Neodiprion lecontei: one gene and its partner. The protein of the gene in region 2 interacts with the protein of the main gene of each other region in a biochemical or structural test. Links are inferred from orthologs where the notes say so. Each region holds a gene or a part of one and is shown on either strand. Other genes may lie near its edges.

What was found.
Region 1: the proteins of general transcription factor IIE subunit 1 (region 2) and transcription initiation factor TFIID subunit 6 form a complex in vitro, tested with the Homo sapiens proteins (2 studies listed by BioGRID). The link is inferred for Neodiprion lecontei from reciprocal best matches to the Homo sapiens genes GTF2E1 and TAF6.

What each region holds. Positions count from the first base shown.
Region 1 is NC_060264.1:21,659,578-21,668,706, forward strand, and holds transcription initiation factor TFIID subunit 6, read right to left. Parts: upstream 6,296-9,129; 5' UTR 6,159-6,295; coding exon 6,009-6,158; intron 4,689-6,008; coding exon 4,376-4,688; intron 4,287-4,375; coding exon 3,883-4,286; intron 3,656-3,882; coding exon 3,437-3,655; intron 3,374-3,436; coding exon 3,191-3,373; intron 3,123-3,190; coding exon 2,900-3,122; intron 1,658-2,899; coding exon 1,356-1,657; intron 885-1,355; exon of another isoform or gene 827-884; coding exon 734-826; 3' UTR 593-733; downstream 1-592. Other genes in the region: ATP-binding cassette sub-family C member 4-like, read left to right, coding at 105-335. UniProt on the Homo sapiens protein: The TFIID basal transcription factor complex plays a major role in the initiation of RNA polymerase II (Pol II)-dependent transcription.
Region 2 is NC_060263.1:15,134,685-15,141,434, reverse strand, and holds general transcription factor IIE subunit 1, read right to left. Parts: upstream 4,128-6,750; 5' UTR 4,113-4,127; coding exon 4,081-4,112; intron 4,049-4,080; coding exon of another isoform or gene 4,003-4,048; exon of another isoform or gene 3,549-4,002; intron 3,547-3,548; coding exon 3,413-3,546; intron 3,326-3,412; coding exon 3,159-3,325; intron 3,090-3,158; coding exon 2,961-3,089; intron 2,879-2,960; coding exon 2,652-2,878; intron 2,571-2,651; coding exon 2,363-2,570; intron 2,275-2,362; coding exon 2,046-2,274; intron 1,970-2,045; coding exon 1,794-1,969; 3' UTR 1,420-1,793; coding exon of another isoform or gene 1,389-1,419; 3' UTR 950-1,388; downstream 1-949. Other genes in the region: arrestin homolog, read left to right, coding at 1-131, 189-357, 430-575; rab-like protein 3, read left to right, coding at 4,003-4,048, 4,384-4,593, 4,677-4,825, 5,011-5,124, 5,235-5,414; putative ATPase N2B, read left to right, coding at 1,389-1,419.

The sequences.
Region 1 (9,129 bases), on a different chromosome or scaffold from region 2:
TGAACTATTACATCGTCCAACCAAGTCTCAAAATAATTATTTTAAGCAAACTGTTGAATAACTAATATCCTTGTTTTTTTCTACCATCTTTATCCGATGTGCAGGAGTTTGATCATCCTTATTTGCTGTTGAAAAATCGTAACGGTCACTTTTTTCAAATGCTTCAACAAACTGGCAAGACAATGGCAGAAAAACTTTCCGAAATTGCTGAAACATCGTATCTACGGAGTTCAGAATTTCACAAAAAGGCATCAACTACTTCGAACGATACCGTTAACGAAGATGAAACTACCACCCAGTCATTACCATTGACGGAAGATTGTAAAGATCGGTAAAAACAGTCACCTCGTGTGTTTTATGGGATCTAGTGTTAAACTGTACCGACGAAGTATTAGTTGAATTTTTATTTTTTTCCGGTGAATCGATCAGCTGGTTCAACCAAAAAAACCTCAACCTGCAAGGTGAGCTGTAGAAATTTTCAATCGTAATGAGGTCAAAGTCTTATTTGTAATTTATCGAAGTTAGAAATGACCAAGGTTGATTAATTACCGGTTAGAAAACTGCGAACGAATGAAAAGTAGAACAACGGATATTGGTATTGAATTTTTTTATTTTGTTTTAAACTAACTTGAGTTACAACTAGACAAAACGTTGTGCTTTGTTCGTTACAATTAGGATTAGAAAAAATATTGGCATATACGTATAAATTTTATTAATAAATATATTATTCAATCTATTGAAAAGCGTGCTCGTCGGTGGGGCTCAGAGATCTTTCGATGCTTTGTTGAGTAACAAAGACTGTCTGTGGTTTAGAAGTAAGACTGGCCTGTAAAAAACAAGAATAAAAAAATATGGTGAATAAATTTTTTCTAATTTAGTTGCGTGAAAAAAAATGAAAACATTCTTATGAAACGACTTGTTTTTAATCCGTTTCGATCTTTCCGTGTTCGACGGGACGGGAAATCGAATTTTCAAACAAAGCATCTGAACACACGATAAAGCAAAGGAAAAAAAAAACAAATAAAATAGATCTCTGAAATTTCGCAATTACTCACTACACTGTGCCTTCGGTCGATAAACTACGCATATACATGTACACGCTGATTTGGTACTATATCGTAAATTTTTCAACGATGAGTTCATAAGTAAAGAACATAACAAAATCGACGTACTTCACAGTTTACCCCCTATGCGCATTAATTTCAGCGATTAAACAGACTGGATGATACTAGTAGCTGATGTCAATTGTGTTTCTAAGTATACAAAAAGAACGCGACTTGATGCAAAAGCACAAAAACGGAAAAAAACCAAGAAGAATGAGGTAGCGATTCGGTGTATAGACTTGATCCATGTACCTGAGACACAGTGGTCGTGGCGTTCTGGTTACTACTAGGCATGCAAACCACCACCAGTTTTGGGGTGCTACCCTGGAGATGTTGCTTTTGTTGATGACTAGAACTATTTTGCGTTATCTTGACCTGCTGCTGTTGCTGCTGTTGGCCTGGTGTTTGTACGACGTTCGGCATCGTCGGTGTCTGCGATCTCGACTGAAGTATGACGAACTTCTGACAGCCGCCCGTCGGCGTTGTTCCACCCCTGCCGGAACCCAGTATCATCGTTCTGCTAGGAGCCTGCTGACCTGGGCTACCCGCGGGCACTGGAATCATAGATCAGCCTCAAATGTAAAGTGAATAAATTTCGGAAGATTGGATATTCGGATCCCAGTAAATTAAAAAAGATTCAATTGTACTAGAAAAAATTTATTTTGGCGTCTGCCAATTCCAAATTATCAAGTAAACGTACTGCATTATGCTGACATCAATCCGATTTAATCGTTCTAGCGTTTTCAATGCGTGTCTACGGATTCGTTTCTTCGCCATTCTGTTATGTTTGAATTACAACGCAATTTCAATTCAATTCAAGCTGTAATACCTAATTTCGTTTCGATCCATTCCTGTTTGATCCTTTCGTACAAAAAAATTCACCGGGAACATTCCAAGTGATTTTATTGTAATTGACACGTAAGAAAGTGGAAACATATCAAATCCCTAGACACATATTCAAAAAAATTGAACGATTAATTCACATTGAGTTTCTTATCATGGATCAATTTTCTTGTGAAACTCGGACCGGAAAATCATCGAAACGAATCGGGTTCAATAAGTTCCAATCCTTTTCTGTCTACCGAGATGTTCAAGAAAAATTTCAACAATTTTCAAATAAGTATTCAGAGTATACACAGTTTCGGACGATTCCAAAACAACAGAAGAAAAGAGCATAACGAATTCGCATTCCCGAAGGTATGTACTTTAGTCAATATCAAATGATCGTTCTGGATCTCTCATAAGATCTGAGGATTTTTTGAAAGGTGTAACATGATTTTGGTGATTCCCGGCAATAGGATTCACGAAACAGGGTTGCTACTGATTTTGAATTGGGGAATTTTTTACTTATTCAGGTTCTCCAGATCCAAAACGGTAATTTTATGGATTATTTTTGTGTCTATAAAAGTTAAAGTAATGAACAACGTAATCTATCTCGAGAAATTATACTTTGGTAATTTGGTCATCGATAGCCGCTCATCGTGATAACAATCATACACCCCGTAACACATTCGACGAAATCCTCAGACTTTTCGTTTCTTTTTAGAGGTAAAACAAAAATCGCCAACCATTTCAGTGTTTTCAACCTACCAAATAGAGACTACCCTGATTTGCGTAATTTATTCTGTTTTGAATCATAGATTCCTAAACTATGAAGATTTCCTAGAATTACTAAGAGTCAGTCAATTGCCACAAGATTTTCAAACATCTCTAAGAAATTCAGCATAACTGGCACAGCATTAATAATATCCTGCGCCATTTCCCTTGCTTCCCAATAGTGAAACATGTTATTTTACCTGATTGAACGAGCGGTTTTGTCACCACAGTGGTTGGTCCCTGTTGCTGGTTTGTGGTGAGAGTGGTGGAGGCCGTTGCGGAGGTGGTAAGAGTTGCAGGTTGGATTCGAGCTTTAGCAACAGCGGCACAAAGCACTGGACCGACGTATCCAAAGTCTTGTTTGTACTCTTCAACGTAATCCGGAGCCGGACGCATGCCTTTCAACACAGGAGCGACAACTTTCTAAAAAAGCCAACACAATCTTAAATCAACTGCGAAGAGAGTTTCGAGCAGTTTAAAAGTTCACTCACAACTAACAGCGTCTTGATATGACCAGCACCGTTTTTATCAATACTGGAAAGTACGGGCCCCTCAATGCAGCTCTCGATCCTCTCAGATATGGATTTTATCTTTGGAATGATCAGCGCCTTGACCACCTCTGGGCCGAGCTCAGAGAGTCCTTCGATCGCCCCGTAGAGCGAGGCCAAGGGCGTCTGAAGATAACAGAAGTGTTAGTTTCCTCTTAGCCGCAGGTAAGGATGTCGATAATTTCTTACCCCGAATTGATTTACCTGACTATTCTTAGCCAGCGCCTGACTAAACATGCGAGTAACTCTGGTCTGCACATTGTTCGTCGACGTGTTGAAGTTCTTGCAGATCTGGGCCATCAGGCGTGATGCAAAATCTCTCAGCGCCCAATGATTGTCCATTTCAGGTCTCATGCATAGCTGCCGAGAGACTATGCACGTCGCTACTGACGGTATCAGCTCGTGCAGCTGAAATTAGTTCTATTGATGTTAAAATAGAGAAATAAAAGCCAGTAAGATTTGAAATAATTCAAGGAACAAATCATCGAGAAAGAAGAGATTGCAGTTATTTCTATAATTTCTTTGACAATTCGTTTAGCCTGGATTTTCGTGATTTTCATGATCTCCTTGAATTCTCAACTATCGTGAAAGCCGCTGCTGCTGTGTTGTGAAATTTTTTGTGGCAAATTACTCACGTATTTCTCTAGATAAAGGCTGGGATTGTCGAGAAGGGCTTTGACCATTCTCATGAGGTAAATGAGAAGTGCGAGATTGTTTTGCACCACATTGACCCTGACGCCTTCGGCGATGAAGGTGCACATTCTGGCAAGCATTTCATGCAAACCAGGATCCGCAGACAAAGATTGCAGGGCCTCAGCTCTACGAGCCTCGTCCGATCCAACGCAGGCCTCGGTTATCTCCTTGTAGTAGAGCTGCTGCTCAACACTGAGCTCGTGGGTAGCAAGCTGCTTTACATGCACCGTCTCAACGTTTCTCAACTTTTGACTCTTTCCTCCTCCTCCCGGCTTACCAATGCCGACACTCTGACCCTTGGCAGTGAGCTTGCTTGTCGGATCAACACTCTCAACCTTTTGCGCGTCTGGAAATTTTTTGAATTTATTTTTCAGATGAACAGCATCATGAAGTGATGAAATATTCGTGAATGACCGATAAGGCTTTTCAATTCACCCTTGGATACAGGAGGTGGATTTTCTGGAATCGTCGGCTGGACGCCATCAATGCAAAGCCAATGGGCTCGCAACGTTACTTCGAGCGGTAGCTTAGGCCACGACTGGCTGTTGGACACTGCTTCGTTCAAGTCTATCTCCTTGTCCTCGACAAAGTGCAATTCTCTACCTCCTCCCGATGCGAATCTGAAGGGGACGTTTTCTCGCGCAAAGAAGCCATATGTCGGCTCGATGTTCTTTATCTTTAATGCATGGTCGATGTCGTGTGCAGTCATCCTCTGACGCTTACTGTGGTGCATGAATTTTGCTGCATCCTGAATAGGTATTTGAGAAGTTAATTTAAGGATGATATGAAAAGTGAACACGAAGGTGGGTGATGAAATTAGTCTATTGTTGGAAGTAGAAAAATCTCTTTTATTATGGCAAATAAATGTGAAATCGACCAAATATGACCAAAGCAACACTAAAACCAGTCGAAATGCATCAAAAAGTAATCAAACATGATGAGCAAACGGATAATGGTGAACCAACACATGTTTAAATAAAACCTGTAAAATAGAACTGGTGGCCAATTTTAATGAAAATACAATTGAAAATAGTGAAATAAAACTATTTATCGGCAAAGGATTTACGTTGAAGGCCGTAATCTGTCCAAAAATAATTTGAAAGAACTAATGAGAGGTAAAAAAATTTGACTAAGATTAGTGTACGTCAAGAGGAGTCAAAGAAACTCAATTAATAGCAGAAAATGATGAAATGTATTCAAGAACATCCTAAACAGACTAACAAATTGTGAAAGAGGGAAAAAATAATGCTTATGCATGGCTACGTATGACTAAATGAAGTAAAAAAAATAGTCAAATCATTATTATAATGTGACTAAACATGGATGAGGGACAATTTTGAAAACAGTTGAAATACAGCTAAACAGTCAGCTATCATTAGTTTGCCATAAATAGATGACAATTAGTTTAGAAATAGCCAAATAAGATTAATTGATGGTCAAAAGTAAAGAAATAAGACCTTTGGTAGGCAAAAACAGCTAGAGAAATTAAATAATGAGCTGAATATTGAAACAGTATTGAAATTATAAATAGTCATAAATAATAAAATAAAAAGCCAAATGTACCCAAAAATAACGTGATTGGAATGCAGAGCATGAAATGTGTATGGTGGTCATGACGACAGAAGGGGGAAATTATTACAAAGAATAAAAATATTTGCTGCGATACAAGAGCTGTACGGCTGTATGCGTATGTGGTGTACGTACACATTCGCAGTTCTTGAATCCCTCCACCATGATGGTAACCTAACCGCGCTTGTGCATCCACAATGTTTACACTGTGAACGCCTTTTCAATACCAATATAATTAGGTAAAATATGACTAATGTGTGACTGAAAACGAATGGAAAAATGTGGCGAACATTCATATACAGTCAAATTTTACATCGACATGGATGAATAAGGACGAAATATGTCCAGAGATGGCGAAATGAGATAAATAAAAATTGAAAAGTAGGCAAACGAGATTAAATATTTCAAAACGTAGCTCAGTGGTGACTTCGGAGAGTTTAAAATTCGTCGAATATATGTAAATTGAGAGGAGAAAACAGAGAATACTACCGCAACTTGCCTGAATGATCTCCTTTAGCCTGTAGCTTACATCCTCGGCGAGATCCTTGGCAGCCTCGTCAGGAAGATTTCCGACCCCAATGCTTTCTGCGATCACTTTCATGGACTCCTGGGACAGAGTCGTCCCGTATATCGAATCGTTGTCATTCATAGTTCATCTGTGATCAATTTATACTTAATTTTTCACAATAACAGCATCGATTTCACAAACATAACCTACAAACGTTTGACAGGCTTCAACTATCGACAAGCTTCACATGATTGTCCACGTTGGCTTGTGGTAGCCACGAAGCTACCGTGAAGTAGTCCACCACTTTAAACGCGGCAAAATAAACAGGCTGGTATCGCCTTTTGGCAGAATCGATTCCATTCATCGATACATCGGAATAAGGATTGAGTTTCGCACAACGGTATGTACATCGATTCTCTTAAAAATACAAATTTGCACGACAAAACGAAAAAGGGAAACTGAAACAGAATTTTAATGAATCCGAAAGTACTACAAGTGGATAATATTCATTGTAATTATCACTGGTCTGCAAGAAAATCTTTTTTTTCCTCCTTCTTATTAGATTAGATGCTCTTGAATAGAAATACAGTAACAAATAATATGAACCACGTATATTTTTCATGTAATTTTTTTTTAATATAACGCTATTTTTGCTTACACATTATAATCAAACACTAATGATAGCAACAATGTTTATAAAAAATGTCATAAAATTAAAATGTTTACGCATTAAAATCGAAAGAAAATCTATCTACTAGTATAATTCTAGTTATTTTGTCATTTTCTTTCACACTAGACAACATTTTAACGTACTGTACGACATGAAGGCACAACGAGAACTGCGCAGACGCATGCATGGTGTGAATAAAACGGCGTTAGGCGATATGTTTCTTTCTCTTTCATCAGTTCGAACTGGTTTGTATCATGTACGAATACTACGAATACTGTTTAAATAGATTAAAGTAGTGCAAATGTAAAAACAAAACACAACAAATTCTTAATTTTAAACAATAAAAAAATCATATCCTGTAATATACATATGCGTGACAGCAGAAAATGGAAAGCAGATATAAATTCGGCACATTAAAATCTTCAAGTCGGAATTTTTTTTTTTTTGACGGAGCAATCCTTTGCAGACCTGTGTTACGAAATAGATGGATTTGTTATGATGGAAGATCCAGATGAATGACTATTATCTGATTCGTAAAATACAAAGAGCTAAAAGTGATCAAATCCATTGAGTTAAAATAATTTATCAAACGAGAAATAAGAAAATGGTGATAAAATTCATTTGCAAAAAATAATCTCACACATAAAATCATTTGTACCATTCGAAATTGTAAGTAATTTTTGGAGATTAATTTACAGAACACATCGTACGTATATTTTTATTTAAAGACATAAAAATAAAGTGTGCTAATATGTATAACAAGATGAACAATTGAGAAATTCTTCACATAGAATATACATAAATCTTATACAATAATAATATTTAGGTTTTGAAAAGTACAAACATTTACTTCCGATGCACTAGCCGTTATCGATTATTCGTTTTCATATGAATCAACGATAACATAGAATTCAAACATTGAATAAAGTTTCAGTGTTGTTATCTGTACGACTCCAGTGCACCTTACGTTTATTTTTGGCAAAAACTCAGTGTATTTTTAACTTTTGACCCAGTTTTAGCTAAGTCTAGGGCTGTCTCGATTTGTACATTGTTGACATGACAGTCTGCTCCGTTTTTTTACTAATATCTTATCAATATCCGTGTTAGTTTTTTACAATACTAGTTTACGACTTGTGATGGTTTCAGCATTAACGAAACCACTTACATCAGTTATCTCGGCTTGCATAATTTAGCAAATAATCAACAATTTTCACGCAGCCTTTTAGAACAACAATATGAAATATTGGCTAGTGTGGTGGTTTGAATTTGAGGGGCAACGGTGGTTGTCACGATAGAAAGATTGTCGTGCCGCGGTTGTATGGATCGACCACCAGAGGGCAGGGCTCGCGCGAATACCGCTCGCGTACTCTGTCGCGTAAGTCCGAACTCCGAGGAAAGGCAGTTAGATCCGGAGAATCGCTGAAGTCGGTTCGGCGAAAGTTTAAGTGTGTGCGTTGACCGAGGGCATATGTATAAAGATTGATAACGCTGGGTTATTGTGCGTAACAGTTTGCTGGGTTTGGGGGTATTAGCAGTTTCACGTTTCATCAACCAGGCAGCTGACGACGTCGGTAACAGAAATTCTTCATAACTAACAACTATCGCGTGCAAAACGTTGGTAACATACCGTCGTCATAGTGAAATTGAAAAGCTGAGAAAATCCCTTTCAAGTAATATCCGTAATTGGTCCGAGCATTCATACTTCGTTTGACGTCGCACATTGTTACGGCAATGTTCTACACATTTGATCGCGTTGTGCGCAGCTTAGGCGGTGTTTTCATTCGGCCGCTGAGACCATAGAGATGTATAAAATAGAGCGTAAGCAACGGTGTAAGCGTCCCGTGAACGGATTCGAATCGGTTCTCTAAAGGACAGGATAATAATTCTACAGAGGAGAAAAACAGATAGGCAGGCGCGTGCAGCTATCCCCACTCCATGTGAAGAGCGACAGAGAGGGCGGGGAGAATTATTATCCTCCGTTCTTCAGAGAACTGATTTAAGTTTCTTCTGTGCGCCGTACAGCATCAGTCGTTTCCGAGCCATCTGAGTCAAATCGCGTGCTCTCAGTATCGGTTCAACATTCAGACCGCGTTGTTCAGGTGGTGTCACGTTGTTCGATCAGTTTATTTCCACCATACTCATTTGTGAATAATACACGAGGAGCAGCGTGTATCCTGAAGAAAAACCAAGTTATCGAAATAAAAACATCCTACGAACATTGAAGGTGAATTTCGTGTCCGAATTTTCATAGTTTTGTGTAACTTCAGATTTCAGTGACGTCTATATTTGTCTCTATGCGTGGAGTGTCAATTTTATTATTTTTTTGGCTGGTTTTCGGTAAATGCGCAATTGCATTGTTAGCAAGCTTATTCAGTCGGTTCAAACAGACAGCTACAGACCAAAAAGTGAGTGTAGTATCGAGTGCTAGCGTTATTACAGTGC
Region 2 (6,750 bases):
TTGCAAGCTTGGAGACCCGCGAAGGCTGCCCCATCACACCTGGTGCTTCGTTCACCAAGCAGTTTTATCTCGTTCCATTGGCCAGTAGCAACAAGGATCGTCGCGGTATTGCTCTTGACGGACATCTGAAAGTGAGGGAATTCATGATGTTTCCTGTATCGGCATATCTAAGCTTTCATTTTTTTTAGGACGATGACGTGAATTTGGCCTCCTCCACATTGGTTGCTGAGGGAAAATGCCCTGCAGAGGCAATGGGTATAGTCATTTCGTACTCCGTTCGCGTAAAGCTGAACTGCGGCACTTTGGGAGGTGAACTTGTCACAGATGTTCCGCTCAAGCTGATGCACCCTGCTCCTGGTTAGTTGAGTGGCTGAACATTTTTTTACCTGAGTACGCTTCATATCTTAATCGTCATTTCTTCTGCGACAGGTGCCCTAGAGAAGGAGAAAGCAGTTTTGAAGAAGAGCAAGAGCATCGATCGTGCACGCTATGAAAACTCTTGCTACGCCAATGACGACGACGACAACATTGTCTTTGAGGACTTTGCTCGCTTGCGTCTTAACGAGCCAGAATAAAACACCGAGGAGTATACGCTGCACATGCTATGAAAAGAATGTAAATTTATCTACTTTTGCAATGGATATGCATCGTAGACGACTTCGCACTATGAATATTCAATTGTTGAAATTAGTCGCACCAATTTTACGTTTGCAAGTGAGTCATAGAAGATCGTTAAGTCTTTATTTTAATCATGCGTCTATTCTCATTTTCGAGTTGACAGCTTGTAAGGGCAAAATATCAAATTGCCTGGCGTAACAGTGAAAGAATTTTGAAATGCAAGTATGAAAATGTAATCCTTTCAAAAGTATCAACAATCAGAAAATCTGATCAGATTTTGTTGATGTTACCACGAATATTCTGAAAGCCGATGACATTTTTGTATGATCTAATGTATAGGACGTGAAGAAAAATTATTGAGGGGGAAAAACGATGCGCGATGCCATTGCTTGTGTGATATTATGCGATGCTTGGGTTCTTTTCAAAGCAAGCAATGAAAAGTAAGTAGTTATAAACCGAATTGTAGAGTGATATATCAAGTCTCGTAAGTCAAGTTATAATGTACATAAAGTTACCTCAAATAACTTGTTTACGATAAAATTATTACCTATTGAATTATCGAAAAAACTGATAAAAAGAAAAAAAAACGAAAAATATGCAGAAAATCCTTGTTCTATCATCCCCAAATTTGGGTTCGATTGTGGTGGTCGAGCAAAAATTTTGAAATAGACGAGCAAAAAAAAAGATATCCCCAAGTAAGTTTTACTTATTATCCAGTGATAACATAAGAAGTTGGTAGGGAAAGAAAAACATTTAATATAGTATAAATAATGACATTTCCCGTTCTTACCAGAAGTGACATGTATTATTATTGATTAATTATTTTAGTTCTATTATTGTTAATAATTCAGTGTTATTTATTATCACGTATTCAATATATTTTCTTGATCAATGTATCGTTAATTCCACATGTTATTGGATTGATATTATTGTATATTAGGTTTCAAGTATGTTAATAAATTCTTAAATTTGACCAGTCTTTCATGGCAATTATAGCTCAGTATCACACGAGTCAGCTGTTAAAGGCAAATTACAAAACACGGAGCTGTGAACAATGGATTTTTATTATATTCATACTTATACAAAATATTCTCATACTTCACGTATATGTGTGTAAATTCACAGTCATCGTACAATTTAATTTAAAAATATAACTCTCGCAAGCTGTTTTCAGACTAATCGTACATGTGCGAATAATATTCTTGATACGTTTGAATGTAAGCTTCTTTCTCTGCCGGCGTCATATCGGCAATCAAAGTGTCATTGATATCTGTAATTGAAACTGTTTTTCCTCCCACACTAACCGTGGGCACCAAGTCGTCGTCCTCTGAATCCATCGTCTCTACATCACCTGAATCGTTCAAAGAAATAAGTCTCAAATAAGCATCTTAAAAAGCTGAGAAATACAATCATCTTGCAGCAATTACCCATATCGATAGCCTGTATCTCTGTAACATCCTCATTATCGCTACTGTCGCTAGATTCTTGAGGTATTACAGTCTTAATGGCATTGGCAGCATTAGTCCCTCCTTTTTTCTCGTGCGCCAGTAGCACCGACATTATGTCTTCGCCCTGTTTATTCGTTGCGTTCGTTGCATTTGTCGCGTTCGTTGCAGCCTTATCAAGAATACTGTCTTGGCCTCCAACCACGTCCGTCTGAAATAACAAAAACAACTTTCTCAAATTCAGCTTTCTCAAATTCGTTGCCAAATTCACATTCTCTACAATATCATCATTTACACACCTGCGATCCATCTGTGTTTACCACAGTGCTTTCCATCATCCAAATCGGCCTCTCTTTTCTACGATTGGCAGTGTTATCATTGGCCGATTCATCGCCGATGGTAACATCCACTCTCGTATCTTCGACAGCAAATCCAGACGACCTCGTCGCCTCTCCTGACCATTGTTCACCCGGAGCACGAAGCCCAGTTTGCTTCCTCGTATCGATGCTGTAATGTCAGTCGAATATAAAGTTGACTTGTCATTTGCAGCTGTCCAACAAGAGTGAAAATTATATTTTTATTGCTAACCCTCGTATGGTATTGATGTCAACAGGTTCAGGCTCGAGAATTTCAGGTGCCAATTTTATACCCTCGACTTCTCGCAGCAGAATGTAGAGTGGCTCTAATTGTTCGTTAAATTTTGCCAGAAGTAGCCTGGAGTCTTTTTTCGGAAGAGCAGATTGATCTTCCTCAACGATGTTCCGACAATAAGTACATCGGAACTCGTCTGTTGTCATATCAAAGAGTTGATCTGCCTGTGAATAAATATTGTTTGCCATAAAAAAAATTGAAATTGTGATTGTGTCCATCAAGACGTTTGTCTATCGCTAGATTCACCTCAAGGTCCGTGAAAGTCTTAAGACAATTTGTGCACTTGAAGCTGGCTCTGCTGGTCGCGTCTCGTTCTTCCGTTTCCATTTTCTTACGCATGTGATCCAACTTATACTTGACAACGTTGACAAAAGTCTAAAGGATTAAGATTAAAATTCAAAATTTAGCAGGCATTTTGGAGGGAAAATCTGAGACAATTTTTACCTTGTAATTGATGAAATAGTAGTTCACTTTCTGCGCCTTTCCATCAGATCCAGTTTCCATCTTAAGTCTAACTTGAATGAATTTGTCATTCCTTAGCGTAGATATTCTAGCTCTCAACATTTTTCGCTCGAATTTTAGCAGCTCGCATATGTCGTCCTCCTTCATACCTGATAGAAGGATACAAACAAAACTACAGTTGAAACTTTTTAGTTGGCTGGGATGAGCGATGCCAAATTAAATAGATTTACACTTACAGGGATTTCTGACCAGCATGTCAACGATTAAGGCATCCTCTATGGTATAAAAACCGCGAACAACAAGCCGTGCTAGTTGTTTCAAACTGCTAGGCACTTCGGTGACAAATCTTTCCTCCCCACTCATTTCTCTGCTAATAATTCGAATACAATAATTCCCACCATTTACTCGGACTGTTAGTGAGAGGGATTTTTTTAGGGCGTTGATGTGGTCTTATGCATTTCTTAGGTGTAAAAACATTCAATTCGTTATCTACTTATTCGCCATCACAACGATATTATAACCTTCAACTATCGGAAAAACCCGGTTCTTCTTATTTCGACGGCCTATTTGTAACTCCAATTAACGAATATTGCCGCATTCTTAATTAACAGTTCCAGCGGTGGTACGATCACGGATAAATAACGCGTAATTGCATAGTTTTTCGGAAATTTAACACAGGGTGCATCGATGGCTAGAGTCGTTACTTGAGGTTATGATGCCGCGTTCGGCGGGGAGGTGGAGCTTGTCAAACAAAAACTGTACCTAGATTCCGCTCCGCCGGTTGCTGTCAGGAAATTCAAGTCAGAATTCGAATGTAACTGTACAAATGGCAGCGATCGATAAGGTCAAAATAATCGTTGTCGGAGATTCTGGTATAATTATCCTCTGCTAAATTATCACTTACCCATTAACGGCATTCTTCGTTCTTCGGATCATTCGCTAAAAGAATCTGTTCACAGATCGCGATCACCACGTATACGCAATTCACTTAATTTAATATTTTCTTCGTTTGCATCGCCGCTTTACCGTTCCTCCGGCAATAAATCGTAGATTTAATTTGGTTACGAATATATTTATTCATGGGGAAATCACGAGGTTTTTAAGGTTATTTACCCATCTATGCACTGTACATGCATATTTTGATCCACTTTTGTTGTTACTTATTATATAAACAGTCTGTAAGCAAGTCTTCCTTTTATTTTTACAGGTGTTGGAAAAACCTCACTGACTCATTTAATATGCCATCAACAACCGATAGGGAATCCGTCGTGGACAGTAGGATGTTCGGTTGAAGTAAAGCTGCATGAGTACAAAGAAGGCACTCCGAATCAAAGAAGATACTTTATAGAGTTGTGGGACATCGGCGGTAGTCAGAATCACCAAAATACTAGATCTGTGTTTTACAATCCGACAAATGGTATGCAAAGTACGGTGTAAGAATCTCAGAAATATACGTGATAAACTTGTGTTCTGATTATAATAGAATTTTCTCATTTTCAGGTATTATCTTGGTTCACGATCTGACTAATAGAAAGTCGCAGCAGAATCTCCAGAAGTGGCTTCAGGAAGTTCTAAACAAGGACGGTAACCATTCCAAGTCTAAATCTTTCGACGACTTTGATCCCGAACAGTTCGTCGGTTCAACACAAGTAACTATTTTTTAATTGGCTGCTTAGCCGATGAAATGAGAATCTGTCAACTTTGAATGATGGCTTGAGAATTGCTTACAAAAAAGTATAGTTTTACAAATTTCATTCATAGATTAGTAATGTTTTGACAATTATCAAAATTAAAATCACCTCACAAGAGTCAAAACCTGAAATTTTATTTCCAGATACCAATTTTGGTAATTGCAACAAAGTTTGATCTGGCCGCAGAAGTGAGATCAAGTGTTCATCGACGTTCATCTACAATTGCTGAGGAATGTGGAGCGGACGAAATATTCTTGGTAATAAAATTAAAAGGCAAACGGTCGATGCCAAATATTGTGTATGTTTGTTTCATTGGGTTGAAATTGATTTTATTTTTTAAATTAAAGATTTCTTTGATCATTGTCAGGATTGTCATCAAGTCAGATCCTTGGCTGCAGGCTCGAGTTCTTCGGTGAAGCTGAGCCGATTTTTCGACAAAGTTATCGAAAGACGGTATTACTCAGCGAGAGAAGGAATCAGCCCAGACAAGCGAAGACTACCAGTATACTCTTCGCAGTATAGTCCAAAATTTTATCACAATGACTGAACGAAGACCCTCCACATCATATCTATTGTAATATATTTCACTTTACTCTCCCTTGTACCCTATTTTACAGAACTACAAAAAAAAATATATATATATATATTTCTGAATAAAGAATCAATACATTCAGTAGCTCACTTGAGACTCGAAGGCCGTTATCAATTCCGTATTGAGGGGTTTTAGTCTTGAAGCAAAAGAAACTGATTTTCGCAGTTACTGTGAAAAATTGTTTCTTCTTTTCCTTTCATATCGACGAAGCAGTATTTGATGAGAGACTTTTCATTCCGTACAAACGATTTCATATTACGCGGTTTTTACGGTAGCTTCGTAGCGCCATGTGGTAGTGGTACGAAAGAAGAATTCGAAAATCGTTGGTCATTACGAATCGATACTCGACAACGCTCGACATTCCTCTCAGTTCGTTTTTTTTTTTATCCATTTTATTACACCGCACGACCGCATGTAACGTGTGTGTGTGTGTGTATGTGTGTGTGGAAATTTGTAGAAGGTACATGTGATAAAGGCGATATGAGTGTTCCGAGTGTGTGTGTGTGTGTGGCTAGATTTCGTCACGGAACTTCAGTGTCAAATCAGTAGCGAGTCAAGTCGCAGCGCGGTCTTGGGATGAACGTTTAAATGTCTGTGCTAACGACCGCGAATTCGCAGAATAGGTCCCACCAAGTTTTCAGTGCAGTCACGCGTATCATGATTCGGTAACGATTGGCGATAATTCCGCTCTTACAGCGATTTCATTGATTACATAAAAGTTTGAAATATTTCCCTTTTGACGCGCGCCCTCCCTCGATATCGTAAGTATGTATGTATGTACTTCAGCACACGGTAGAACATGCGGTAATACATATGCACACAAGTAGGTATAACACTGCGGGAAAATTTTTCGCAGGGCGTGTATCTATTTATATACACACTCGTGACAAATCTTCAATAATAACTTTACGTAATTAAAGCTCTCCAGACTGTTTCTTCGATCTATTGTCTATAAAGTTTAAATATGTGAGTCGAAATAGCCACCCTTGAAAACGTTCTAGATGATGAATGATTGATGATTAAAAACCACTGAAACGATTGATTGACTTATAAATGTTTAGATATAATGATTCTCTGGTATTTTCAGATAACAACTTAGCCATGGCATGTATCACGATGATAAGACCGTCAAATTTGAAACACTTCTACCATTTACTGTCAAAAAATTCTCACCCCTTGCTGCTTAGCTTGAAATGTTGCAATTATTCTGAAAGCTCGATAATGCCTGTCACTGATGGACCAGTCAAGCTTTTATCCGACAAGATAGCGCGGGGTGATTTAATCCGCGACG